Tamandua tetradactyla: one gene and its partners. The protein of the gene in region 4 purifies or fractionates together with the protein of the main gene of each other region. This does not show direct contact. Links are inferred from orthologs where the notes say so. Each region holds a gene or a part of one and is shown on either strand. Other genes may lie near its edges. The genes, in order: PPP1R12B, PPP1R12C, YLPM1 and PPP1CB.

What was found.
Region 1: the proteins of PPP1CB (region 4) and PPP1R12B purify together in Homo sapiens (affinity purification with mass spectrometry; 4 studies listed by BioGRID and IntAct, with this or other methods). This does not show direct contact. The link is inferred for Tamandua tetradactyla from reciprocal best matches to the Homo sapiens genes PPP1CB and PPP1R12B.
Region 2: the proteins of PPP1CB (region 4) and PPP1R12C purify together in Homo sapiens (affinity purification with mass spectrometry; 3 studies listed by BioGRID and IntAct, with this or other methods). This does not show direct contact. The link is inferred for Tamandua tetradactyla from reciprocal best matches to the Homo sapiens genes PPP1CB and PPP1R12C.
Region 3: the proteins of PPP1CB (region 4) and YLPM1 purify together in Homo sapiens (affinity purification with mass spectrometry; 3 studies listed by BioGRID and IntAct, with this or other methods). This does not show direct contact. The link is inferred for Tamandua tetradactyla from reciprocal best matches to the Homo sapiens genes PPP1CB and YLPM1.

Annotation. Positions count from the first base shown.
Region 1 is NC_135330.1:59,417,413-59,425,042, forward strand, and holds the start of PPP1R12B (protein phosphatase 1 regulatory subunit 12B), read left to right. Parts: upstream 1-4,611; 5' UTR 4,612-4,724; coding exon 4,725-5,189; intron 5,190-7,630. UniProt on the Homo sapiens protein: Regulates myosin phosphatase activity. Augments Ca(2+) sensitivity of the contractile apparatus.
Region 2 is NC_135342.1:4,568,112-4,575,097, reverse strand, and holds the start of PPP1R12C (protein phosphatase 1 regulatory subunit 12C), read right to left. Parts: upstream 3,004-6,986; 5' UTR 2,999-3,003; coding exon 2,687-2,998; intron 1-2,686. UniProt on the Homo sapiens protein: Regulates myosin phosphatase activity.
Region 3 is NC_135338.1:33,829,844-33,837,730, reverse strand, and holds the start of YLPM1 (YLP motif-containing protein 1), read right to left. Parts: upstream 3,019-7,887; 5' UTR 2,827-3,018; coding exon 1,963-2,826; intron 1-1,962. UniProt on the Homo sapiens protein: Plays a role in the reduction of telomerase activity during differentiation of embryonic stem cells by binding to the core promoter of TERT and controlling its down-regulation.
Region 4 is NC_135329.1:12,889,586-12,896,729, reverse strand, and holds the start of PPP1CB (serine/threonine-protein phosphatase PP1-beta catalytic subunit), read right to left. Parts: upstream 3,001-7,144; 5' UTR 2,905-3,000; exon of another isoform or gene 2,842-2,904; intron 2,691-2,841; 5' UTR 2,603-2,690; coding exon 2,551-2,602; intron 1-2,550. UniProt on the Homo sapiens protein: Protein phosphatase that associates with over 200 regulatory proteins to form highly specific holoenzymes which dephosphorylate hundreds of biological targets.

The DNA of each region.
Region 1 (7,630 bases), on a different chromosome or scaffold from region 4:
ATTTGTATCATTTTAGAGTTTTCAGAGGGCTTTTATATGCATCATCACTGATCCTCACAACCCTGTGAGGTAAGCCCACTTTTGGATTGTTAAAATGGGAATGGAATTGTCCTAGTTCAAAGGTTCAAATTCGATTTTCTAGTTTGAGCTTCCCCAAAGAGAAGATCAGTGACCTTTGGGAACTCCCCTACCTCCACCCACCACTCCCCGTCTTTGGGGGAAAAAAGACCTCGGGATGGTAATGACTTTGGCTTGATAACTTTCTTCTCTAACGCCATTACTTCCCTTTAATGTACTCATGGGTGCATTTTAAAATGTGGATGGTTGGCAATAGTTTAAAATTTGAGCTTGTTTCTATATCATCTCACATTACTTTTTGCTTTTCTAACAATCTTCAATGAATCTATTAGGGAATACAGACACAAATGGATGAAAATTTTATTTGGACTATGCCTCCTCAAGAGGGACGTTTAACAAGTTAAGAATTTATCTTGAACAAGGGGTGCAAGGGTTTATCCTGGGCAAAGGATGGGTGACACAGTGTAGGAGGAATAATGAAAAGAACCAGAAATATTTAATCTGGAGAAGGAAAATAATGATAGCTATCTTTATTTTAAATATTCTTTTTCATGTAAGATTTTCATTCCTCAGTGAACACATCTAAAACCAATAGATGAAAGTTAAAGGGATGGCAAATGTAGCTCACTAAAAGATTCTATCAATTAAAACTAAACAAAACATGTAGACTTGGGAGATAGTGAATTCTCCATCACTGGCTATGTTCCAATGGAAATTAGGTAATCATGTGCATAAGCGTTCTTTGTATTGGGTGGAAGTTTGGAATAGATGACCCATAAGTCCTCTTCTGACTTAAAAGTGTGGTATTTCCTAACTAAGGAAGTACTGTTTTTAGCTAAGCCAGCCCTGACTTCTGAGAGTTGGGTCTCTGAGAGGTGATTGTTGTATGAGAGCCCAGAGATGGCCCAAGCCTGACTTGAATCTAAAGGACCTGGCTGGAACTTGATTAACCTTGGAAATGCTATAGATGGGGAAAAAATTTCATCTCACAGCTCTCATCTCATTGTGTGGCTTTGGAACAGTGGGGTAAAGGAGTAATGGCCAGTCTTTCCCTAAGTTTATAAACCAGCATCATTTTGGCCTCTGCATTGATTTCTACATTCAGTCCAAATTAGAGTTAAGGAGCAAGTGGTACTCGTGACCTCTGCGTTGTATGTGGATACATTGACCAGGATTCTGTCATGATTCCGTCCTAGGGTACCTCTCATTTGTTGTAGAAATGACCAACTAAAGTAGTTTATGAATTACAAGCATAAAGAATTCTGTGATTGTTTGGTCTAATTTACAATCAGATGCAGGGGTTTTGCTTTTATTATTAGTATGTACTCATTGTAGTAAACTGTTTTTTTGTCATAATTCTGGACTTACTTATTTTACTGTTATTCTCTGTTTTAATGTCTTCAAGCCTTCCCTTATTTTCTCTCCTATCCCAACTGTAATGGTACCTGCATTATAGTTTTGACTTTGAACTGATATGGATTACTTCCTTGGGTGGTTCTCTGAGAAATGGGTCTTAAAAATGGCTGTTAAAAAAATGCAGAGACAGGATTGAGTCTGGAAGAAAGGAAAGATGGTATGATAAAACAAGCAAATACCTATAGTTTTGGCAACCAAACTGAAAGGGTTGGAAAAAAAAAAACAAAACTGTAGCGCTAAGTGTATAGTTTCCATTTGTCCACCAGAGGGAGGTATGTAAACTGGTGGAAATATAGGCTGGGCTGAAAGATTTTCATAAACTATGTACATGTGCCATTGCTTTTAAAAAGGGAGTATTTTAAAGTTATAATATATTTTTCAAAGTGTGGGTGTGGGAAATTATTTTGTAACATTTTCTTCACTTTATAAAAGAATGCATCATAGTTGGTTTATCTACTTCATTTAAAAGTTTAAAAAGTATATTTGTCCATAGCCTGTCAAGATTTACTCGTGTATACTTTTTTCTCCTTTGAAATTGAGTATTTATGTAGGAAATTTAAACCTCATTGTTTGTTTTTAATGAGCTGATTGTATAAATTTAGTGTCAGAGGGCTCTGGTTTGGAAAAGTAATGTCAGGAAAAAACTGATATGATTTTAATTTGGAAAATTTAGTCATAGGCAGATGACTTTAGTTTTTTGTGGCATAGTTTTAAATAAACTTAGCCTGTTTAAGTAGATTATTATAATTACTACTTTCAAGAATCAGATACACTGATAATCAAATACACTGGTTTTATAGTCTATTTCTTTCCTTTCAGCTAGGTATTTGCTTAAATTATCCAAGGTACTTAGTAGCCTATATTTTTCTTTAAAATCTTCATGGTGGGTTTTATACCCTTGCCAGTTCAGAAAATAAAAATAAAGCAAATACAATAGTACAGTTAGGACGTACTTACTGGAATTTAAGTTAAATTCTTCCTGTTGAAATTTAAGCTAAAACCTCTAGGGCGAGTAAGGATTTAACTAGAACTTGGCCAATTTTTGCTTATTTATGCAATTGTAACAAGATATGTTTTCTTTCCCGATTCTGAATGCAAAAAGAATACAGTCAAAGGAAATGCAACATTACTGATCCCTGAAAATTTGCCTCAGTTTAAGAAGCCTTATTAGAAAGCTAGTATGCCAATAAAATATATAGTTTAATTATACATATTTTTGACCAGCTACTATGTACCAGAAACAGAATATTAAAATGGTACACATGGATTATTATCAGGTGTGCTTCCTGAGATTTTAGCAATTTGTGTTATACTAAACCTTGCCCCTTCTCAATCTTCCTCTCCAGACTGGTAGTTCAGTTAATAACGGTTTCTTGAAAAGGATTGGATTTCTACCTGGGTATTCGTTTCTGGCTGATTTAATATCAATATTTATTCTGTCCTTAAGAGTGAATTCTGTTTGAGAGCTTCTGGGCACTTTTTTTTTTTTTTTTTTTTTTGCATAGGCAGGCACCAGGAATCAAACCTGAGTCTCTGGCATGGCAGGCAGGAACTCTACCTGCTGAACTACCATGGCCCACCCTTCTGGGCGCTTTTAATTAACGGCAAGAGGCTGAGTTGTAATAGGAGGTGCCATGTTGACAAGTTATAAAGTAAATCTCATGAAGAATGTTTAATTGCAATAAATTATGCGGCATGACCAGTTGTAGAGTGACTGTGAACAAATCCATGCGGATAAGGAGAATGAGGCTATCTAAAGTATAATACATATATTATTAGTCCTTGATGATTTTTATGTAATTCACAGTTCACAAAGATGTTGTAAGGCTTAATTAGTATTTATGAAGAATTAAAGAATACCCAACTAAAGCATACTAAAGCATATTGTAGATAGACACAGTATTATTAAAGATGATATTTTGCATTTATATGTCACTTTTTATTTGAGGCTATCAATTCATTGATTCATTTATTTCCTCAGTGTATCATTCCCTGTTTACCTCAAGGGAAACTGAGACACAAGCAAATGTTCTCATGATGTAATAAAGTCAGGGAAGTGCTTACGCCTCCCTCTAGTTTCCTTTTACAATTCTAATTGTACAATAATTTTCAATGAAAGATTTCAAGCATACAGAAAAAAATTAAAGAAGCTAATAACTGTATATGTTCTCTTTCATAACGGATAACACATTTCATTATATTATGTCCAGGCCTAAGGCCCTGGGGTATATTGTGAGTTTTAAGTCATTGGGACAGACGCAGATTTTATAATCAAGTTCATGGTGAATATGAAAATGTCCTACCTCCTGTGTTAGGAGTTTAGTATTCTCCACAGTAACTTTCTGTAGATTTGAAAAAAATCATGATAGGCAATACATCCATTCCTTCTCCTGAGAATTTAAGATCTATGGATAGGGTAGAGGAGGAGGAGGGAGAAAGGAGTAAATTAATATTTTTTTTGTGTGATTTGATGTGTGTCAGGGATGGTACTGGACATCCTTGCATTTATTATCTTATTTGATCCACATTACTATCCTGTGAAATATTATCATACCTATTTTACACATAAGAAAACTGACTTGAAGTAATCAAGTAACTTGTCTATGTAAATGTGAATTCCAGGTTGTTTTGAATCCAAAGCTTATGTTCTTTTCACTATACTTAGATACACCTTTTTTTCAAGATGTTTTCTGGGCCTAGTATAAGTGTTACGATGACAGTGCTTACGTATAATATGTAATAGTGTATATATGTGTGTATCTTCTCCCTCTCCTCCTCCTCCATTCACATTTACATTTACTGTGATTCATACACTCCGGGTTTATTAACACACTATGTTAACAGAGTTCTTCATTTAGAAGCAGGACAAGAATTCGTGTCTTTCAAGTACTTTCGGTCTGTTTTCCCCACTACATAATAGGGACAACTGCTGCTCCTTTACCACTTAAAAGGAATGATGTGATAATCAGGGAGCTAAGGTTAGTATACATAAGAACTACAACTCCCCAAATGCCCAGCGGAAGAGGCTACCGTCGGTCCGGGAGTCGAGTCCAGCTTTAGGGCAAAGGTGACCTCGTTGCGTCCCGTGGCGACGTAGTGACAGGCCGGACTTGCCTTTCTTTCTGATGCGTCCAGGGATTTGTAGTTCCCTTAGGGCCACCGAGTGCCCTTAGGGCAGGCATCTTACTACAAGTCCCGTGACCACCGAAGGTCCGGGCAGCGCCTGCGTAATGAAGGTGAGGGAGATTACTGGCCGTGCTAGTGGCAGGAGGAGTAAAGATGGCGGCGCGAGGGTTTCCGCTTTCTGCTCCCGGCTAAAGCACTTTGAGGGAGGCGGCAACGGCAACAGGAGCAACAGCCTTCTAGTAGTGATCGTTTCAGCAGCAGCTTCTGAGGCCGGAGCAATGGCGGAGCTGGAGCACATTGGCGGTAAGCGGGCAGAGTCGGCGCGAATGCGGCGGGCTGAACAGCTTCGGCGCTGGCGGGGCTCGCTGACCGAGCAGGAGTCCGCGGAGCGGCGCGGCGCGGGGCGGCAGCCTCAGACTCGTCGCGGGAGCCCGAGGGTCCGCTTCGAGGATGGTGCTGTCTTCCTGGCCGCCTGCTCTAGCGGTGACACTGACGAGGTGAAAAAGCTTCTGGCAAGAGGCGCCGACATCAACACGGTCAACGTGGACGGCTTGACAGCCCTGCACCAGGTAACTCCCTTCTTGGTATTATAGGCGTCCAGTCTCCTACAGAAGAGCCTGTGACACCTACCAGCCACCCCCTGGAAAGGATTAGTGTCGGCGCCGAGCCCCCACACCCACAAACACCCCGCATGGATACTGGCCCCTTTGGGCTAGTCGGTTTTGTTCTTGGCCAGCTTTCTCCACAAATCAAGTTGTCTTTTCGACCTCAGAATCCCTACCTTAAGGAATAATGTCACCCAGCTGCCTGGGCAGTGTTTGTATTTCCCTCCACCTACTTATGTTGTCATGGTTACTGATGACTTAGTGCCTGGTGTTATCTCTGTAGATTAGTCATCTTCACTTCAGTCTGGTTGGTGTGTGTTCCTGTACACACCGTGCCACCAGATGCATGGTCAGTGTTATTTGTGAGATGCTCTTTCCGAAAATTCATTTTTTTTGTCTGTATGGCCCTTAAATTAATATCTCGGATAACTTAAATGGTAAATCCCTATACTGCGTTAAGGCAAGCACGCATCTGAAACCACACATCCCGTTTTGCTCATTTGTGGTACTTCAAAAACAGTTCGTGTCTTCTCCAGCATACAGCTCTTAAAACACCCCTAACCTCATTGTTATAGGAGTCTTATTTTCTTCCCAGCAGTGTTACTTCCCGAGAGAACCAACCTACGGAATCACTTGTATTTATTTGATACCTATGGAATAACCTTGCTGTTTCTCTTTTCTTAAAGCCCTCTATAGAAATCACATGTCCTACATATAGCCACTGTATATGGATTGTGGATGACCTGACAGTTTTGTGTTGGTAATACCAATACTTCTCTCTCCTTATGCAACAGTGTTCTGTGTATATTCTGACTGCCATAACTAACTCCACCCTCCCAAATAGAACTTCATCAGTTATTTTGGTTAGCCAAGAGCTGGGCACTCACTCTATATTTCTTAGTGTCTTCTTTTGCTGTCTGGGCAAAGTAAATGTGTTGACATGAAAATCCCCTTCTAATTAATAATTCAACTTCGTGTAAACTACATTCCTAAATATATTAGCTAATAGTTTAAGATTACTCCTTACCATGTTTGCAACCTTTCTCTTTCAGACGGTATAGCCTTGTCCTCTGTCCACCCTAGTTATATTCAATTTTTTTCTGCTAATAACAGTGCCCCACCTAAGGTAACAACCAACATTTGTATGGTGCTTTGCTGTTTAAACAACTATTTCCTAAGTCTTACCTGAAGTGAGTCTCAGCAGTGACCCTGGGAAGTAGGTAGGACAGGTGGTATTGTTAGTCCCATTTTACAGATGAGGAAACTGAAGCTCTGATAAATTGTTATTTGTGTAAGGTTAGAAAGGAGAGCAGTTGCATTTAGGTACATCCTTTTAAGATTTCAAGTCCAGAGTTTGACATTCCACTTAAGAAGCAGCAGAATAAAATATGATAGAAATGAAAAGAGCGACATTATTACTTTTAATTTCTGAACTCTTTGGGAAGATCAGTTCTTATTTTTTCAAATATTTGAGATGTGAAGGAGATTTAAATCTGAATTTTGGAAGAAATCATTTAATGGCTCATTGGAGGATAGAGAAATAGGGTCCATCTTTCTAGTCCGTATGTCCTGTTTTGAATAGCTATTCTATCAAAGCATGATTTTCTTGGTATAACTCGGTAACTTTGTTTCCTTTAAGGTGACTCTGTTAGTTGAGCCTGGGCCATACACATTTTTAAAAAGACCTGAGAAAAGCATCATCTTTAAGGTCGCTTATGATAAATCTCTTTCCCATAGCAGGTAACTACTGTTTGATCCCTTCTCCTGAGACTGACCTTCTTTGTGCCTTTTCTTCTTCACTACCACTCAAATTGTGAAGTGCAACTTCTCTCAGTTTATAAATTCTTTATATGCCATAACTTCTTGAAATAGAAGGAGGTGATAGCTAAGGAATTTCTTTTTTATATTAGCGAATGCAGTATAGGCAGTTCTCCCTCTCATTTGCACTCATGACAGTGAGCTGAATTGCAAACGTGGTAGCATTACTACACCAAATTATTTCAGCTAAAGGTTAAACTGCTCAAAGAATTAAGGTCAAATCTACTTTCTGTTGAGGAAACCATCTCTGTTTGAATCAAGACCAGCGGCCTTTATTGGCTCAGGAACTCTTTTACAGGTTAATTTCCACAGAGTTACAATATGTTTCTTCATGATCTGAAGAACTTTTAAGGTACATAAAAGATTATATTTAAAATGTAAGACTAGAGCAACCAGTCGCTGAACAAACTACTTTATGACAGATTCTCCTTCTGTCCTTCTATAAAATGGAGAGTGCTACAATTATTTGAATTATTTAAAGTATCCATTATACAAGCATGATATGAATCATGTGATATTAGCTTCTTTTCTTTTCTTTGTTTTGGCCATGGACGCCTGACCAACTGTCGATTATCATTTTATCATGT
Region 2 (6,986 bases), on a different chromosome or scaffold from region 4:
GCCAAGAGCATGAAGTCATGGAAACTCGGGCTGTGAAAGGGGGGCCACACGTGCCCTGGGAACGGGATGAACTCTGGGCTCCGTTTATTTCTACCCAGTTGTCATGGCGATGGGGGAGGGGGGCAAGGAGGGAGATGGGCTTTTCCCTTTCAAGGACCTGACCCAGCACAGGCATCCGTGTGAAAGATGCCTGAGACCTGGGCTCCGGGGATCCAAAAATCCAGGCCCCAGCCCTTCCTCCCTCAGGCCAGGCATCCAGGCCCCCAGCCCCTCCTCCCCAAGACCCGGGGGTCCAGGCCCCCAGCCCCTCCTCCCCAAGACCGGGGGGTCCAGGCCCCCAGCCCCTCCCCTTCCAGATCTCCAAGCATTCTGGCCCCCAGTCCCCCAATCCCTAATGTATAAGGCAATAGGCAGTTGGAAGTGTGGGGGGAGGACACCCACCTGGCCAAGTGGTTCACAGACCTACCTGAGGTAGGGGCTGAAACCTGAGAAGGAGAGGGGAACACAGCCGGGGTAGGGCTGATGCTCTGGGGTAGGCCAAGGGAGGATTCAGAACAAAACACACAGCTCAAGACGCAGCAGTCCCTCAGATAAGGGGGCCAACCAACCCAGCCTGCCTGGGACGGAGGGACTTCCTGGGGCTTTCAGGGCCCAAAACAGGACAGTAGGATGAGGTGGTCATCCTACACCCAGATACTGACCCCAACCCCAGCTCCCCACTTGCAGGCATGGGGCCTAAGGCAGGACTGCCCCTGCTCCTCCAGTGCTCCTGCAGGGCTCTGGGGAGTACCTGGATGGGAGATGACCCCCCTCCAAACAGGAGAATGAGGGCAAGGCCAGATCAAGGGGAGAGTCAAAAGGCCCTCTAGGGGAGGTCCCTCTCCCAGGCTTGCCAGGGCTCTGCCTGTAGTAAGGCTGCATTGAGGAAAAGAGACCCTGCTCTGGGTGGAGAAAACTGTTGCAGATATCACTGGTGTCGCGGTAGTGGACTTGGGGAGGAGAGAGGAAAAGGGGGGGTGGCATTTAGGCCACGTGGCAGCAACCTCCAGTGAAAGCCTGCATGCGTCCAATCTCTTGTGGGGTCTTCCACCCATTCAATCTCCCTCCTTCACCAGAGCCTTGCCAGGGAGAGGCTGTTGGCCCCATTCTACAGGTTACAAAATGAGACTCAGAGAGGAAAGCCATTAAGGCAAGGCCACATATCGAGGAGCTGAGATTAGGAATCAGAAACAATCTATTCAAATTCTGCTTTTCCTGAACTGCTCCTCTCCCTGTGAGCTCAAGCATCCCCTACTTCCATCAAGATTTCCTTCCCAGCAACCCCCGGTAATTCCCCAGCCTTCCCCCCAGGGGTCCTGGCACAGAAGGGGCTGGGTACTCTAAGAAATGGATGTCTATTACAGAAAAGGAAGCTGGACCAGAGGGAGGGAGCCTGGGGATGGGGGGATATGGGGCTCTTCTCTGGCCTTTCCTTTCCCAGGTGGCCCCATCAGAGTAGTGGCAGCGTGGAGGGGTCGTTAAAGAGCCCAGAACCAGAGAAAATCCTCAGGGTATGAGGGGGTCCTGGTCTGGCAACACAGGAACCTCAGTGACTTGGAGAGAGTGTAGGGTGGTGGAAGGAAATAACTTATAGAGTTCCAGAACCCTCCAGAAAGTGACAGAACAGAGGCTGGAGAGACTGCACATCTATGGGAAGAAGAAACTGCCTGAATGAAAGAAGAGGTTACCCAAATCCATAGAAAAATAGAAAGAAGGATGACTAGAAAACAGAGGTGGCCCAAAGACAAATAGAGGTGATGCTTGGAGGTTGCCCAGAAAAAGGGTGACAATGCAGGCCTAGCCAAGGGAAGGCGAAACAGAGGGAAAGATGAAGGCTCCTGGAGGAGAAACACTCCAGAAAGCAGGCCCAAGGTAGGAGGTAAGAGGTGGCACAAACCCCAGGAGGGTTTAGAGGAAACCACCTGGATTAGGAGGGGCAGAGAATAGTACGAGGTGATCCAGACAAGACAAAAATATATCAAGGAAACAAGGCGTTACTGAGCGCAGGAAGAAGTGGTTCAGGGAAAAAGCATCCTTACGCAGCAACAGATGGCTGAGACCAAGTTGGAGAAGGAGTGGGAGGGAAGGAGAACCCGGGAGTTGGCACTGAAGGATCTGGGCCTTCCAAAGAGGTGGCCCAGGCCGGAGACTGGGGGGGGTGCAGGAAAGAAGAGAACGCAGCTCAGCGAAAGTGCCCGGCCACGCCTGGAAAGGGGAAGCTGTAGGGCACAGCCGGCCCAAGTATGGTTAGAGAGACTGTACATGCTCAGGAAGAAGGGGTGCGAGCGGAGCTGGAATAAGTAAGTGGTACAGACCCAGGAGACAGGAGGCAGCCTTAGATGACGAAGACTGCCGGCTGGGAGAAGTGGCTCAGGCACAGTCTAGTCAAAGGGGCTCAGGGGTCGGAAAGGCGCCACGACCATAGATGTGGCCCAGACCGAAGTCGCTAGAGACCGCCCGGGTCCAGAGAGGCGCAGCGCAAGGCGGCAAAGAGCAGACCGGCTGGACACGGGGCGCTCGAAGTGGGTCGGATGCCCGAGGCTGGAGAGGGGAGCTCGGGGACCGGGGCAGCACAAGATGGCAAAGCGCTGCAGGGGAAGGCTGGCGAGTGCGCTCGGGGCCGGAAAGGGAGGCGCAGGGCGCTGACCTGGTGCAGGGCACTGATGCCGTCGGCGTTAGTGGAGTCGAGCACCGCGCGGGCGGGCAGCGGGGCGGCGGGGCCGGGCTCGGGGCTGGGGTCCGCGCGCAGCATCAGAAGCGCCTCGTCCAGGTCGCCGCCCGCGCAGGCCGCCAGGAACTCGGCGGCACGCTCGAAGCGGACGGTGCGAGCGCGCCGCTCCCCGGGGCCCGGCTCGGCGCCCGCCCGCGCCCCCCACTGCCGCAGCTGCTCCCGCCTCCGCTCGCGGGCCGCCGCCGCCGACGTCCCGACCCCGGCCCCCGGCCCGTCCTCGCCCGACATCGCGCCGCCCGCCGCCCCGCAGCCCCGCGAGCGGAGCCCCGAACCGCCGCCGCCCGCCCCGGGGGCCGCCGGGAACTGCCGCTCGCCCCGCGCTGCCCGAGGGCTCTCCGGACCACGCCCGGCGGGATGACGTCGCATCGCCGCTCCCAGGGCACGCTGGGAAATGGAGTCCGCGGCCCGTAAAGAGCCAACGGCGATCGCCTGTGGGGCGGGACCCTGGGAGCGCTGGGAAATGGAGTCCGAAAACGGAAGTCTCTAATGGCAATTTCCTGGACTAGCTGTGCCCCGAGGCACACCGGGAAGTCCTCAGCTTAGAGCGGTCGAAAGGAAATCGCCTGATTGAGGAACATGCCCCAGGGACAGCTGGGAAATGGAGTTCACAGGGTGGACTGTGCTCCAGGGCATGCTGGGAAATGTAGTGCGCGGTGTAAACGAGCCAGGTCTCGGGCTCCGGGGCCTGATCGGAAATGTGTAACAACCCGGAAGTTCTGAGATCTATAGGACAAGGTAGTCTACGCCCCTCATCATCTTTCCACATGCTGTTATATAATTTATTTAATTGGGTTTTTTTGTCTGCCCCTCGCCAATAAAGAATAATCCACGAGGGTAAAGGTTTTTGTCTTCCACGTTCACTCTTTTATTCCCAGGACCTAAAACAGAGCCCGATAGTACGGAACGAAGATATTAATTGAATGAATTAAGAAATGGATTCCCAGGTCGTGAGAAAAACCGAGGCATGCTGGGAAATGTAGTCGCAGGGCCACGCCCCTAAAGGCACAGCCGGGGCCAGGACAATCCCCGATTTACTCCCAGCAACTCCCAGCTAATCAGGCTCAAAGACAAGACTGAACAGAGTTCACTATAACAGCACGCTGGGCAATGGAATCAGAAGTCCGGAGTCCTTAGGGCCAACCTCTGGCTCCCACCGGGGAAAGGAGGTCCCCATTGACAGCTCCCCAGGGCCTTTCTTAGGCCGCCCTTCTTCCGCTCCCACCTGGAGCCGTGGAGCATGCTGGGAAATGTAGTCCATGCGCCTGCACCTTCGCAAGCCTTGCTGGGATTTGTAGTCCAGGTTTGGGAGCTGGCGTTCTGGGACCGGGGTGACCTTTATCCGTACCATCTTTTTTTTTTTTACATGGGCAGGCACCAGGAATCGAACCTGGGTCCTCTGGCATGGCAGGCAAGCGTCCTTGCCTGCTAAGCCACCGTGGCCCGCTCTATCCGTACCATCTTTACGATGCAGACCAATGCCTGTTTTGGTGCAACTGCAGAGAAAGAGGGAACATTTTCTTCTTAATTGTCTTTCTGAGGTTACAGAAGACCAGCATGACCAAGCACGAAATAATCCTCACCCTGAATATCCTGCACCGAAATGCAAATCGTGAAGGATGCAGGCACTTTGAAACAGGAGCAGAGACCCATAGAAATCACGCAGAAAGGGGCTGAAATGTAGGCAGGGGCATCAGAGTATCTCCCACCTCCAAGGAATCTAGGAGTAGGGACCCACGCCTAAGTCTTTGGGCCTGCGCAAAGAAATAAACTGCAAATCCCATGAGGTCAAGGGAACGCTGACCATAGATGCGAAGGGGACTGTGGGCCTGGTGGCTCTTGGGATGTGTAGTCCGTGAACCCCACAGTTCCTGAACCTACGCACCAACCCTCTTCACCCAGGGACGCTTAAAAACGGCACGAAGTAAATCTTCGGTGTATTCTTGTGGGTGGTTGTGGTTATGCATGTTGCTATGCATGACTGTCACCCATTATAATTGTGTATATTTGTGATTGTGACTGTGGCTGGGGTAAGTTGATGTTTGTGTAAATATGGCTATGTATATTTTTGTGACTGTTATTGTTTATCTGTGGACAACCCAATTTACAGGACCTGCCCAACCCACACAGTGAACTCTGGTAGGTTCTCCTGCCATAAACTCTATTAGCAACCTTGCATTAACTTCTATCTTTAGACTTCAACGTCTACCAAAAACAAAAATTATATTCCGTTACAATGGTTAAGAATTCTGGCTCTGGTTTCGACAGTCCAAGATTTGAATCTTATCTTTGCCATTTCCTAGCCTTATGACCTGGACCTTGTCTCTTTATCTATACTTCCTGGAGTTGCTGTAATAATTCAAATTAAGTATCTCATAAGTAGAAGAAGTTAGCTGTATATCTGCATCTTCATAGTCCAATTGTTAAAATTCTCTTCTGCCCATTTCTTTTCCACAGTGAAGATATTTCGCCTCTAAGACTTGCTGTTTTCTTGCAGTGCTAGCAGGGGAATTTTGATGTTTAAAGTTGGAACTGCAGATCATGCTCGCTGTTCATGAAAATAACCTCAGAAAGATAATTAAGAAGAAAATGTTCCCTCTTCCTCTGCAGCTGCAGCAAAACAGACACTGATCTGCATCGTAAAGATGGTACGGATAAAGGGCTGAACTGAGCACATTTGTGAAAGTATCAAGTTTATTAATCTGTCCAGTGTGGAGATAGAGGTAAAAATATTATAAGCCAGTTCTTTTTGTTTTTATTACAGAGATTCATTTATTTCACATTTCTATAAGCATATACATAGTAGAGTCACATACAAACATGTACAAACATGGTTTATTTAGTAATATATCCAAAAAAAATTGGAGTCAATGCTTTAAATACTTATCACATTTGAAATATTTGCCTTCAGACAAATTTTCAGACCAAATAAATTTATCTGCTCTCTGCAATCATGTGCTATCCCAGAATCCCAAAATGCTGTATCTTCTTATTTGACTTAATATCCTGTATTTATGATTTTGACAAATGTAAATATGTTTAAATTACATTTCTTTGCATGTGGATACATTATTAAATTATACCACATTAACATATTATCCTGAATTATAAGCAATGTTATGAATGCATAACCCTTCTAAAATTAAACATAGCATTATCAGTTTGCCTTTTAGTTTGCTTGCCAGCTGATAAAAAGTAAATACATGCAGATTTTTGTCTTTATACAGTTACTGTACTTATTTTCTGTAGCTGGAAACAAACATAAAATTTATATTTGCTTTCCTGACATTAAAAAATGAAAATCCCTGAGAGCCTATAAGGGGTTATTATTCAATTCACTGTTACCCCAATTTTTCCCCCAGGCCTTTCTTTCCAGAATCAAGACTAGTTTACTGCGAAATCCAAATGGTAGTTATCACAGGTATGTATGAGGCACTTTGGGCATCTTATACTCTTGAGTAGAACATTTTTGCAGTCAGTTTAATTTATATTTATTCCATATTTTCATATAAAACAGTTTTAAACATTTCATGCTGCATAATGCATAATGTTTCATAAACAAACGTTATCAAAGTATTACTAAATTGTTTTATGCATAATCAAGAAGACTGATGAGAGGAAGTCATAAAGCAACTTTTCTTAGCCTTTTCTATCATAATGGTACCGATCACCTTCATGTAATAAATAAATATCAGGTCAGTTTTCATTTATGTCCGTGGCAGTGTAACAATAAAAAATATTAAACTGCATTCAAAATTACAGCAATTTTTCATTCCTAGTGAATTCAATAGAAAAACAGCCCTAGCGGGTGTTCTACTTTGCTAACTGCCGGAATGTGATATACCAGAAATGGAACAGCTTTTAAAAGGGAACTTTTATTAAGTTGCAAGTTTACAATTCTATGGCCATGAAAATGTCCCAACTAAAGCAAGCCTATAGAAATGTCCATTCTAAGGCACCAACAAGAGGTTACCTGCACTCAAGAAGGCCAGTGAAGTTCAGGGTTTTTCTCTCAAGTGGAAGAGCACATGGCGAACATGGTCAGGGTTTCTCTCTCATCTGGAAAGGCACGTGGTAAGCACGGCATCATCTGCTAGCTTCTTCTCCTGGCTTCCTGTTTTACGAAGCGGCCCAGGAGGCATTTTCCTTCTTAATTTCCAAAGTTCGCTGGCTGGTGGACTCTGCTTCTCATGGCTATGTCATTCTGCTCTGCTCTATC
Region 3 (7,887 bases), on a different chromosome or scaffold from region 4:
TAACTTTTAAGAGATTGGCATTGGCATAAAAAATATTTATCACAACATATAAAAATATTCTAAGTTTAGAACATGACAACACTTGTACCTATGTCAATAAATCTCTGTGGCACTGTCCTAGGTGCTACAGGGGATAAAAAGATGAGCCAGACAGTCCCTGTGTGTAAGGGACTTAGAATCCGAACAACAGAACAAAACCAAATCAGTAAGTACACTTGTGGCTTCACGGAGACCTTGATATTTGAGGTGTGCCTTGAGGAGATCTACTACAAGGAGGGAGAGGGAGGGTAGATAAAGCTGGGATGAATCCTAGATGGAGGAAGGAGAGCCTAAACAAGCTTACAAGGCCCTTCTTGACCTAGCGCATGCAGACCTCTCAAGCCTCATCTTCCACCAATGTCTTTCCAGCTCTCACCAAAGAATTGGAGGCACTGGGTACTCAAGTAAAAAGAAATTTACTATGGACAAGGATTCAAAGGCAGAAAAGCAAAAGCAGCATTTGTAGTCAGATTAAGGATCATACTGATACTGTTGTCCCCTCTCCTCCATAAAAAGTCAAAACAAACAATCCCAGAAATCTAATTAATTTGTCACTCTAAAGGGTTAGAAACAGTCCAGTAGAGAAGAGGATATAAAATCTCATATTTTGGATTGGACTAAGGTATCTGACAACAAAAACACTGGAAATTCCGCGGGGGGGTGGGGGGAAGGAGCCAGAAATTTTGTCTATATAACAGAGAAATCTGGAGGAAACAACCTGGAGGCATGGTACTAATTCGGCATAAACCAACAGAATCAGATACTTACTGCTTTATTCCGGCACCACAAGTGTTTTCTCCTGATGGTGTGCCAAGCATCATTCCTTAAAACAACTTGCCTCTGTTCTTAATTTCTAATACCAAAGCACTGTAAAATTAGAATACTACATCCTTATCTTTTGTAAATATTTTATATGCGAATCTGGGCTTATTGAAAAGACTATTCACTAATAAAAAATAGTGTATTTAGGTTAGTAATTGCTAAAAGTGTCTTTTTAAAGAAATAATAACACATCGTTTTTCCCCTTTAGTTCTACCTTCTCAATGGAGGAATTCATTTATTATCTCTACCCTGTCAATTTTGATCATTCTGTGGGAAGCATCACTTCAAACAGAGAGAGAAATGGATCTCTTACTACTAAGATTCTAATGAAGAGACATCAACTTTTTTTTTTTTTTTTTTATCTTGGTCTAATTCCAAGGCTGCTACTTTGGAGTTAATGGGAGCAACCATGAAATGCAGCAAAGTGGTCATGTCTTAAAACTATCTTCAAGTGATGTGAGGAAAGGATGTATGGGTCAGTTCCTTAAATGGACCAAGAGCCCCCCCAAAAAGGATCAAGTGTCTAGAGAGACATCTATGTATTGATAGGGCAAGCACATTTGGGGAATAAACTATAAAACTTTCACATGTATCTATAAGCATAATTAGGATGCCTCTAATAAGACATTCATCTTTCATTTGCTGAGGCCTCCTTTTTTGGAAGCTGAGAGCTATCAGTGTATCCTAAAAAGAAAAATTTTTTTTAAAGTTAACTGGGTCATAAGGTTTACATGCATTTCAAGTGTCAGCCCTTTGAGAAGCTTCTTTATGTGGCCTCTCAAAAGGAACTTTTAGCTTAAAATACAATTTTAAAACAAGGCCCTCTGCAACAAATTTAGGAAGGAGACTCAAAATATATCTGAGAACTTGAGCCATTCCACTATTCTGTGGTGTCTAGTAACATCTTTAAACAAGGTTCTTTCTGTAATCCACATTTACCTAATTTAAAAGCGGGGTGGAAGGCTCTAGGAGGATCTTTTAGAGTGTAAATTAGCTTGTCATTGTGTATTGGAATTAGGCTAAGCACTGGTTAAAGTCCTGAGGCCTGATCACTTACGGCCCTCTAGGAGAAAGAAGCGGTTCAAACAGAAGCTTTCTTACCTGTGGAGTCATCGTAGAGGGATCTGGCTCCGGGGTAGCTTGCTGCTGTTCAGAACTCTTGTTCTTGGCCCCACTCTCCAAAGACTCTTGCTGGGCAGTGGTCTTATTCCCAGAAGGGGCAGACGGTGGTGGTGGAGCTAGCAGTTGGGATTTAGAATGACCCTGCGTGGGGCGGGAAGGCGATGCCTGAGACGGGGGCAAGTAGGACTGGGAATGGCTCAAATAGGATTGCGAGGAGGAGGAGGAAGAGTAAGATGGGGTGGGCGCCAAGTATGACTGGGACGGTGGGGACTGAGAAGGGGACGGCTGAGCGGCAGGCAGATAGGGCTGGGACGAGGACGGGGGATAGTACGAGGGTGGCGGCTGAGGTGGGGGCATGTAAGATTGAGATGGGGGCATGTAGGACCCCGGCGGCACAGGCGGAGATTCAGGAGGAGAATCCAGCTCCATGGGAACCAAACCAGGAGGCCCGTCTCGTTGGTGGTGGAGCATCTGGTGTTTGTACTGCTGCTGCTTCTGATAGCTGAGGGCCGGCGCGGGCGGCGGGGGCATCGGCGGTGGCTGCCAGTCCCCGTAGCCGCCCCCCGGCATCACCGGTGGGGGCGGCAGGGGGGGCGGGGGAAGGTGGTGGGGCTGGAGCACGCACTGCATTTGCTTCTGATGCATCTGCTGCAACTGCTGGAGCTGCGCCAGGTGCTGCTCGCGGAAGCTCATGAAGCCGGAGGACGTGGGGGCCGCGGGAGTCGTCGAGCTCGAAAACCCGGGGCCCGGCGAGGCCTCAGGAAGCGCCACCGGAGGCGGAGGCGGGACCGGCGGCGGCGGATAGTGGCTGCTCCCGCCATACCGGCCCCAATTCGGGTACATATCGGAGAAGAAGGCGCAGGGCTCGTCCTGGCGCCGTTACTCGTCGCAACCGACCTCCAGGAGCTGCGGCGGCGGCGACAGCCGGAACTCGCGGCACGTATAGGCCCTAGAGCGTGTAAACGGAGCGCGCCAGTGCGCCGGCGCTACGGAGCAGGGCCCGCGACCGGGAAGGCGGGGACGGGCCTGAGGCTGCTACGCCTGCGCAGTAGCCGCCAAGAGGAGAACAAAGGCGAGCTAGAGCGGCCTTTTGCTTGACGACTTTCGGTTGCCACCTTCCTTAGGGTTCTGGTAATGCAGGCTCGAGTAGAATGTTCTCATAGAACAGAGGAACCATAGAGTCTCACAGCTGAAACGCGTTGGTAGAGATCCTATCGCTCCACGGATTCATTTTTGAATGAAAAAAAAAAAGAGGCTCCATTCACAATAGCAACAATCGCAACAACAACAGAAAAACCATAAAAACAACTAGAAATAATTCTAATTAATTCGAATTATTTCTATATGAAGAAAACTACCGAACATTCATATCAAAGAGGGATAAAATTAGGCTTGAAATAATGGACAGGCTTACCATGGTTGTGAATGAAAAGAGGGAAAATAGTAAAGATGTCAATTCTTCTCAAATTAAAAATTAATAGACAAAGTGATATTGCCATGTTAAAGGTGAACATCATTATTGAAAGGGACTGTATTAGAGCCAGGTATCCCACGGATTAACACTACAGAAATAAGTTCTTGCATGAATTACTTAAAAGGTATGAATCTCTTTTTTTCCCCACAATCACACAGTCACATTGCGAAAGCTATATCACTATACAATCATGTTCAAGAAACATGGCTACTGGAACACAGCTCTACATTTTCAGGCAGTTCCCTCCAGCCTCTCCATTACACCTTAACTAAAAAGGTGATACCTATTTAATGTGTAAGAATAACCTCCAGGATAACCTCTCGACTCTGTTTGGAATCTCTCAGCTATTGACACTTTATTTTGTCTCATTTCACTCTTCCCCCTTTTGGTGGAGAAGGTTTTCTCAATCCCTTGATGCTGAGTCCCAGCTCATTCTAGGATTTCTGTCCCACGGTGCCAGGAGGTCCACACCCCTGGGAGTCATGTTCCACGTAGAGAGAGGGAGGGCAATGAATTTGCTTGTTGTGTTGACTGAGAGAGAGAGAGAGAAGCCATATCTGAGCAACTGAAGAGGTTCTCTTGGGGGTGACTCATAGGCCTAATTTTAAGTAGGCTTAGCCTATCCTTTGTGGGGTTAAGTTTCATATGAACAAGGTATGAATCTTATACAGTGTTTATAATATGGGGTAAAGAGGGAAAACTATTGCATTCTACGGCTATGTTTAACAAGAAGACAGCAACAGTACCACAGCAATACCAGGGGTAAATAATTGGGGGCGGGGGATGGGGAGGACAAGAGTTATGGGGTTTGGATTTTCTGTTTGGTGATGGTGTGTTTATTGATTATTATTCTCTGGGGAGCAATGAAAATTGTCTAAAATTGAGAGTGTTGATTATACCACTAAATGAGGATAATGTGAGACATGGGTTGATGACTTTGGATCTTATACATGATGCCCAGTGGATTAAGGTGGCTAAAGGATACACTGAGTGGTAGAATGGTAAACTGTGGTGTATACATATGTTCAAATATTGAGCTGCTACAGAAAGGAATGAAGTCGTGAAGTATGCAATGATGTGATTGAACCTGTGGGGCATTATGTAATGCAAAATAAGCCAGAAACAAAACTGCAACTATTGTATGATCTCATTTAGAAAATACTTATAAGAAAATTGAGACTAGATTGTAAACTCTGATAGCAGTCACATTTAATCCAGAGCTGCAATTGTTATTTCTAGATTTTGAAAGACTGTGCTATATATGTATAACCAACTTTGAGTACCTGTGTGACATGTAAGACCCAGAGTAGGAGGTCTGCAGGTCTGAAAGTCAGCATTGCCACATACAACTGTTAAAGAAACTGAAAAAGATCAGGCTTCAGTTAGAGATAAGAACGAAGCTGATCACATTGGGACTAAGTTAAATCAGAATAAGGGATAAGGATGACATTGTCTGTATTTTAAAACTTCACCTACTCTGAGACCAAAGGAAGAGAGGTTTATTTTGTCCAAAATCTAAATTTTCTGTAGCACATACTCTAACTCGTCTGGATAGAGCATTTTAACAACCCAAACACATGGAGCCCAGAATGGGAATGAGAGCATGTAATTCTAAATAGCTTAATGTATTGCCCGGACACATCCCAGAGTATGTTGAGCAGATAAGTAAAAAAGTATTGGCAAAGTCCCTTGAAGCATGGAAGAAAAAATATGGAACTATTAAACTTTATCACCGGGGAAATCCTTGATACTGTCTCGAACATTGGGGACTCCCAAGACGATATGCCAAGTCCTTGATCTTGAGGCTTGCTCTTGTGAAGCTTACTTATGTATTTATAGGAGAAGCTAAGCCTATCTATAGTTATGCCCAAGAGTTACTTCCAAAGAACCTGTTTTGTTGCTCAGATGTGGCCTCTCTTTCTCTCTAAGCCCAACTCTGCAAGTTAGATCATTACCCTCCCCACTACATAGGTCATGACATAGAGGGGTGAAAATCTCTGTGGCAACGTGGGATATGATTCCTAGGGATGAGCCCGGCCGTGGTACCATGGGATCGACAATGCCTTTCTGACCAAAAGGGGGGAAAGAATTGTAACAAATAAGGTATGGGTGACTGAGAGTTCAAACAGTCAAGAGGCTACTCTGGAGGCTACTCTAGATATTACTAGGTATTATGGTTTTGCAAATTCCAACCAAAACCATTGCTGTCAACCCTAAAGAACATGTAGGGCTTTATCTGAGACTCTACAAAGGTTCCATGCACTATGATTACTTTCGAACCTCCAGATGGGTTCCTAGACCTGATAAATCCTGAAACCCAGAAGGGCTAGCCTCTCCAAAATATCAAATAGTTCCATCCTCCATCCCATATTATCAACAGCTTTTTCCAACATGAAAAAGCTAGAATGGGCATAGCTTAAATACCCCTAAAGACTGGGAGAAAAATTAAAGAAGGTCGAGTTATAACAGAGAAGATAGTATTTAACAAATGAGTATGACTGCTGAATCATTATATATATATATAATATATATGTTATATTTCACAATAAAAAATGAATAGACAACACAATTCTAACCCAGAAAATCAAACTGAAAACAAATCTGTGAAAGAATGGAGACCTATTTTGAAGACGATGTAATACTCCGCACCAATTCCTGCAGGCATATAAAAAGTGACAGCTACAGGAATAAGAGGGGAAATGGAATTCTTTAGAATATCTCAAAACATTTTTTTTAAAAACCCATGTTGGAGAACCTCAAAGCGAAAGTAAAGATAGCAAAAACCAGATACAAAGATTGTCTAGAATAGATGACCTAGAAGATAATTCTTGCAAAAATTTCTCAGTATAGTACTAAACATAAGCTCCTTCTGTGGTTTGAGTGAATCACTAAGAAACAAAGTTAATCCACACTGGATTCTAACTCTGAGACTATAAAGTGTGTCTGTTGTGCACTCCATAAAAAGACCTTGACCTTCCTTCCATTTTAGTAACCCAGATCCTCACCTCTTAGGAAGTGGATATGAGTGCAGAGTGGTGCATACAGGTATACTTCAGAAGCATGAGTTTCATTCTCAAATAGGCATTTAGTTCTGTTCCTTTTTTAACTTTTTATTGAAGTATAACATATATACTAAAAATGATATTAAGTGTAAAGTTTAGTGAATTTCCGCATACCAATCATGCTGTGTACCCAGCACCCAGGTCAAGGAACAGAAAGTTACTCAACCCAGAAACCTCAGTTAATTGTGTTGTTAATATTTTTCATTGGAATTCTCTTTTGAAAAATATAAAAATAAATGTAATTCACTATAGTAATAGATTAAAGGGGAAGATAATGTGATCATTTTACTAGATGGAGGAAAATAATTCGATACACATCAATATCAATATTTTTTAAAAATCTTAGCACACTAGAAATGAAAAGGAACTTCCTTAATCTAATGAAGAGTATCTATTAAGCATCTATTGTAAACACCACACTTAATGGTGAAAGTTGAAAGCTTCACTGACATCAAGAGCCAAATTCCCACTGTCTTCACATCTATTCAGCATTGTACCACAGGCCCTGTTTGCGCAATAAGGCAAGGAAAAAAAAAGATATAAATATTGGAAAAGAAGAAACAAAACTATTATTATTCATGTATGATACTATGTACATAGAAAATTCAGAATAATTACAGATACATTTTAAGAATAAGATTGCTGGATATAAAATCAATATACAAATCAATATATGTACCTATATACAATTTTTATATACCTTTCATTAAGGAAGTGAAAAAGGGAAGTCACAGAGTAGAAGGAAATATTTTGTAACATGTTTAACCTGCAAAGGATCCATACTTAGATTATATAAAGAAGTCCCATAAATCAATAAGTAAAAACATACAATTTAAAAGAGTAAAATGGGCAATACCTGAAGAGGGATCTCATAGAAAATGAAATCTGAATGGTCAATACATATAAAAGTATTTTCACCTCAGTAGAGTGTAGTAGTAAAAATTAAAACCAAAATGAGATACCAGTACATTTGCAAATTACCAACATGACTAAATTTAAAGACACAATACCAAATGTTGGCAAGGATGTGGAACAAATGCAGTTCTGATACACTGCTGATGGGGGTATAAATTGTGGCAACTACTCTGAGATACCATTTGGCAGTAACTACTAAAATGAAACATACCTTTAGTCTATGACCCAGAATTCCACACCTAGGCCTGTACCTAACAGAAATGCATATATATGTTCACATGTGCAAGGATGTTCATATCAGTAGTATTTGTAATAACCGAAACTTGAAAACAACACTGTATTAGCTAGGGTTCTCTAGAGAAACAGAATCAGCAGGATATATATATGTTGATATAAAATTTATAAAAGTGTCTCACATAACTGGGGGAATGTAGAATCCAAGATCTGTAGGGC
Region 4 (7,144 bases):
TATTCATTAGAAAAACCAGATCTGCTTCAGACAAGTTTTTGGATGGGAAGATTGGCAGGGGAAATCTGGAGAATTTTAAGAATCTCAGGGAGGTACTGTCAAACAAAATATGCTTCACCCCCGCCCCCGGGGGTTAAGAAACAAGGAATAAAAACTCTTTACTGGTGGAAATGTGCTGAATATACGAACAGAACGGAGAGTGAAAAAAGCCAGATAATCCTTCTTAGCCTGGGAGCTCTTAGAGGGAGGAGACTGTGTTTTATCTTTGGATTCCTGGTCTGGCACAGAGTAAGTCAATAAAGGGAAAAATGTGTCTGAGATGAGAAATCTTACACACACACACACACACACACACACACACACACACACACACACACACACACACGAAGGTGTGGAAAAAAAGACTGTTTCCATTCCAAACGGAACCAAAATGTTTAATTTGCATACACAAAACCAAATAGAATCACTTACTTTCCCGACCAAATCTTTTTTCCAATAACCTTGACGATCTACTAAGTTTCCTAAGTATGTATAATCATAAAAAGTGGGTTCAACTTAAAAGGTTCCACACAGTACATTTTTAAAAGCATAGGTCTACCGTATATAAATGTATGGAAGAGAAAGGTGAAGAAGCTGCAATACAAACACCAGCTTAATTTTTTTTTACATTTACAAGCAAAATTTCAAATATATTCTTAAAGATGAATGTATAATGATACAGCTTACGCAATGTGACTGAGTGTGAAAATCTTGTGTCTGATGCTCCTTTTATTTACGATACTGATAGACGAGTAAAAAAAAGGATAAAAAAAGATCTTTGCAGAGTTAATAACAGAGTGGTAATTGGGAAAAAATTAACTACTGCATAGTATGGACTCTATATAAGCAGTTATATCTTAATAATTTTTATCAACAGTAACACATAACCACACCAATACTAGGGTTAAATAGTTGGGGGTGGTGGTAAGGGATATGGGGTGTTTTGAGTTTTCTTTGTGTGTGTGTCTGTTATTTTTCTCTTTGTTGCAATGGAAATTGTCTAAAATTGAGAGTAATGATGACTGTACAACTAAGTGAGGATACTGTGAGACGACTGTATACTTTGGATAGAATATATGGTATGTAAATATATACATATATCTCAATGAAATTTGCAGATTCAAAAAAAATTTCGTATAAAAATGGTAATATGTCAAAACCTCCCCAAAGGTTAACGAGATACTAAAGTTCTAAAATAACTATATTTCTCTCTCAGAATAATTTACAGGTACAAAAACTATACAATCTTTCTAAAAACAAATTTCTTACAGTTAAAACCCAACAAAATGTTAAAAGTCCACAAAATTCAAGCAGTGAACACTGACTGCAGGCACCAGGGGGCCTCCCAGGAATAACTTACTAGTAAAGGAAAAGGTAAGAAAGAGTTTCTGGTAAAACTTTGCTTCCTATTCATATTGAGTCAGACTCTTCGAAGGCTTTCACATCTGGAGCAAATACACTGTATTTAGTTACACATTAAGTACACACAGAACTGATGTTGTTTCAGATACCAATACATTAGCTGAATAATCTTCATGATTTTCCAAATTTAAGTACATATTGCTTCACTGCTGTAAACAATAATCTTCAGATAATGTGAAAGCAAATAATTCACAGACAATAATTTGACTATCGAACAAAAAGGACTCTAAATTTTAAAAAAGGCTTACTTAGAACTTTTCTACACACCCAGAAAGCAATGCGAATCTAAGGGTAAAGGGACTCATTGGCCGAAGATTGCGATTAACTTTGAATAATATCCTGTAATGAGTCAGTATGTTTAATTCCTGGCCTCTGTGCCCTTCCCTCACACATCAATCTAAAATTTTCAATAAAAACGCAAAGGGCCCGGAAACTTCAAACGTTGCTTAAACTTAAAAGGGAGGCTTTTCAACAGACCTCTCCTAACTATGTGCCTAAATTAAATTCTGCTCAAACCTGTTAAATTCGCAAAGTCTAACCAATCCCTTCAACATACCTATGTACATATTTCAGATTTCTTGCGGGAGGTCTTCCACTTCGTCAAAGATTTTACTTCCCTTTTTTTTTTTTTAAAGCTAAATAATAAACGGTAGAATTCAACTCGCGCTAATACCACCCTCTTCCTAGCCGAGTTCCTTCTCCAGCATCATACAAAAATGCAGAACAGCAGCTTAAACAATCACACTACGGAGTTTTTTTTTTTAAGTATATAAAATTCACCCCGAACAACAATGTGAGGGAGCCAAAGGCCAAGGCACAAAGAAAACCGAGAAGAAACGCGCGTTCCAGGGACATAGAGCGCACACCACACGCACCCTCGCTCCCTCCTTGGAAAGGGTCCCCACCGCGAGCAGCAGCAGCTCCCCGCCGCCCCGGAGCGGCGCCCTCCGTCCCCGAGGGTCCGCGGGGAGAAGTACCCTCCTGCGCCCTCCCCGCTGCCTCTGCCCGTCCGCCCCGCTGCCTCCGACTTCGGGAAGAGAGGATCGAGGAGGGCCCCCCCGCAGCCCGCCGGCCCGGCCCCGCGCTCACCCTCCAGCAATCGGGTGATGAGGCTGTCCACGTTCAGCTCCCCGTCCGCCATTTTGTCGGCACCAGGCTCTCCCTCCCGGCAGCGGGAACAAGGGCTTCTCGGTGGCGGAGGGTGCGGCGACGGCTCGGCCTTCTCTCACCTACAAGCCACACGGCGTTTCGACCCCAGGCCCGACTCCCCCCTTCTCCCGGGCCCTCCCCCCACCCCCTCCCCACCAAGTCGTGCGAGCGCGCGCACACTCGGAGGAACGGGGGATAAATCAATAAATAAACAAGCGGGGCCGCACGCACCGGGCCGCGTCAACCCCGAGCCTCCACCTCCCCTTCGGCACCGCCCAACGCCGCAGAGCTCACCAGCGCCGCTCCGCGCGGCACTTCCCCGCCACCGCGCCACGCAGCCCCCGCGCAGGCGCACTGCCGCGTTCCGCGCGGCCCAGGCCTCTGCGCAGTCGCACTGAGTTCACCCACCGCCCCCAGCTCCCGCCGGCGCCGCCGCCTTCGCGCAGACGCGTCGCCCTTTCCCTCCACTTCCACTGCGCCGACTCGCCGCGGTCGTGCAGGCGTCCTGTGGGGTTTCCGGATTTGCTGCGCCGAGGAGGCCCCCGTTACGCAGAGCCGGCGTCAGCGGGGCGGCCCTTTCCCCCTCATCGCCTTCGGGCTCAGGGCCTTCTGCAGCGCAGTTGGTGTGTACCCTTTCCGCCTCGCTCTTCTTTATTTCAACTTAATTCCATGATTTTGCAAGCAAGTCCTCGCAGTTCCGTTAACCGAGGAACGTAGGCCCCACTTACCCATGCTTGAAACCTGGTTTGCGCATTTGGGTAGCAAGAAGAGGTGGTCTGCTGGAAACGTTTGACATTGCACACAGTTCACAAGGCCAGGTCCCCAAGTGTCCCTGGATGAATGAATTGAAGTGAGCCTCGAAAGGATCAGCAATAATTATACTTTACATGCCTTTTACGCGGAGCTTTCACATATCTTCCATCTCCATCTGCCCCGTGGATGCTATTTTACCACAATATTTTGTGTTTGTGCCTCTATTATATTGTTTACTTTTCTTAACGTTGTAATTGTTTATACATTTATCTCACACTCGACCGTGGGATCCTAGAGGGCAAAAAATAAGCATTTGTCATGGCAGCACCCACCGAGTATCTGGCGCAGAGAATGTGAAGGAGAAGGAGAAAGGAGGGGGCTCAGCTGGTTGCCCAGCTGTTCTTTCCACCACATGTATGATGCGCGAGAGGGAGAGTAGCCGCCCAAAGAATCTAGGCAAGCCAGAGTTTTCTGCCTGTTCCGGGAGGTGGCCAGACCAAAGGCCTTTACCTGTCCTCAGCTGTTTTTCCAAAAACTCAGGGAGACTCTACAAGGTCGTGACCATACTTCTTCCACCCATATGTCACTATAATACCTAACATTTATTGAGGTCCTTGCATGTACTGGGCACTGTTTTAAGTGTTACACACTTGCTATGGCATTTAATTTTTGCAACAACCTCATGAGGTAGGTATTATTATTATTTCTATTTTTGTGGATAGGATTCATTGAGACACAAAATGGTTAAATACGTCTACTCAAATCACAGTAGTAAATGGCAGATCTGGGATTCAAACCCAGGAATCTAGCGACAGAACCTGCACCCTTTTTTTAAAAAAATGCAATTTTACTGATATATGTGTTTGCATACCATATAATCATCCAAATTGTACAACCAGTGATTCACGGTATCACTATATAACTGTGCATTCATCATCGCAATCGATTTTTGAACAGTTTCATTACTCCAAAAGAAAAAGAATAAAAGTGAAAAAGAACAGCCAAAATATCCCATATTCCCCAACCCCCTATTACTTATTTTCACATTCACACAGTCACACATTAAAAGCTCTGTAGTTATACAGTCATCTTCAAGATTCAAGGCTCTTGGATTACAGTTCAACAGTTTCAGGTAGTTCTCTCTAGCTATTCCAACACACCAAAAAACTGGAAAGAGTTATCTATATACTGCATAAGAATAACCTCCAGGATGACCTCTCTGCTCTGCCTGAAATCTCTCAGCCACTGAAACTTTATTTTGTCTCATTTCTCTTCCCCCTTTTGGTCAAGAAGACTTTCTCAACCCCATGATGCTGGTCTCGGCTCATCCCAGGAGTCCTGTCCTATGTTGTCAAAAGGAAATGTATACCTCTGGGAATCACATCCCACGTAATGGGGAGGGCAGTGAGTTCACCTGCCGAGTTGGCTTAGACAGAGGCCACATTTGAGCAGCAAAAGAAGTTCTCTGCGGTGACTCTTAGGCATAATTATAAGTAAGCTTAGCTTCTCCTTTGCAGAAATAAGTTTAATAGGGGCGAACCCCAAGACTGAGGGCTCAGCGTATTGAATTGGTTGTGCCCACTGCTTGAGAAAATATAAGGTATTCCCCAGATGAGGACGTTGACTATTTCCTTCTTTCTCCCCAGTCCCCTAAGGGGACTTTGCAAATACTTTTTCATTTTCTGCCCAAGTTACTCTCAAATATATCGCGGCATTATACTAACCTGTACAAACCAACAGGATCTTACGCACTATTCAAGATTCCATGTAATTATGGTGTTCAAATAGACTGCTCATACAAGTTAAATTAGATAACGTGCTACCCAAAATATAAATTTTGCACCAAATAAACATTCCTTCCTTTGATCTCATACAGAAGTTGAAGTTTTAAAATATGGATGATTTCATCCTTTACCCTGTATTCTGATTTACTTTAGTCCTGTCCAAGTCAGCTTCATTCACATCTCTAGTTGAAGTGTGATTACTTTTTCAACTCTTAAAATAGTTGCTGTATGGGATAATGCTGACTTTCATAGCTTCAGAGCTCTAACTCAGAGTCTCAGATGTCACATACATACCCGAAGTTTCAGGAAACAACTAGTTTATACACAAATAGCTCAGTATCTCAGCATTTAGAAATAACAGTTACAACTCCTGAATATATGTGACTGCTATAAGAACTTATGATCTACGACCCTTTACAAAATGCTCCAACATGATAACTCATGCTCTGGACTTCAATTCTCTGAATTTGTACATTATAGTTAGTCTGTGTGATTGAGGAATGACAATTTTGTCTTTTTGTTTCTGACATTTCATTCAACATAAGTCCTTACGGGTTTATTCACATAGGTGCATGTCTAATGACTTGATTCCTTCTTGCAGCCACTCAGTAGTCCATTGTATGTATCCACCACAGTTCCCCCTTCCATTCCTCAGTCAATGTACCCTTAGGCCACCTCTATTCATTGCGAATTTGGAACACTGCCCCATAAAAACCAGTGTGCAAATATCCATTCTTGTCCCCACTCTCAGTTCCTCCAAGTATACATGTAACTGCCAGGTTGCGGGCTCCTATGGCAACCCCACCCCTAGCCTCCTGTGGAGCCACCACACTGCCCTCCAAGGGGATCCACCATTCTACTTCCCTACCAGCAGTGAGTAGGTACAGCGCTCTCTCCGCATTTTCTCCAGCACTGTATGTCTCTCTTCATTTTTAAATAGTTTTGCTCATACATCATGTACTCCAACCTAAGTAAAAAGTTAGTGGTTTCGGTAGAGTCACATAACCACGCACTCACCACTACAACCTATATGAGGAAATTTCCTTTTCTTCCACAAAGAATCCACACCCCTGCCCCTTATCCCCTGCTTATTGACACCTAGCCTTGACATACTGACCTTGCTACATTCAATGGAAGCATATCACAGCATTACTGTTAATTATAGACCCTATATGCATTGATTATACTTTTCCCCCTATACCATCCCATCTTCCACATCTTGCAATGTTGACATTCATTTAGAACCTGCACTCTTCACCTTTACAACATTATTCTTTCATTGAATGTGAACTGAGACGCTTAAACATGCATGTGCTATATCAAAACTTGGAGAGAAGAAACTGTCAATTTGGGGGGAAAAATAAAGCATTGTTTAAACAAGTGCTCTATAATGGTCCAACTGATTTACAGAACTCTACCTTTTTTTTTTCTAGCTCCCTCTCCTTCATTTCAGTGTTGAGATTGTGCACTTACACAGAAGATAGGAGAACAGGCAATAAGCTGTGGTGTAGGTCCTGTCTAAAGTAGTTTTCACAGACTCTTTACTATCAGTTTACTTTGAGGTAGATAAGGATGAAGAAATGGTGCCTCATCACGCTATCTTGTTTGGTAAAAGTATATTTGTTTGTGCCCTACTTTATTCCAGATAAAGGGATTCAAGGAAACATAAATTCATGCAGTGGGATAAATTTAAAAATGAGTACAGAGAAGAATAGGACAAAAGAAAACTGAGAGTGGAAAAGCTAAGACGAAAGGCAGCAGTAGTGGATACAGAATACTTGTTGAGGGCCTATGGGTTTGTGAGAGGTAAACCACAGATATGACCCTAATCTTGATCAGTTGCAGGAGGAACAGATATTTTGATTGAGTTGGAACCTGGGTCTGTATAAACCAGCTTGTGCAGCTGAGTACCACTTCCTGAATCTCGAAGTGTACACATATTAAGAACAAGGGGCATCCAAAGGAAACTGGATTGCACAAAGGGAAAGTGAGAATCT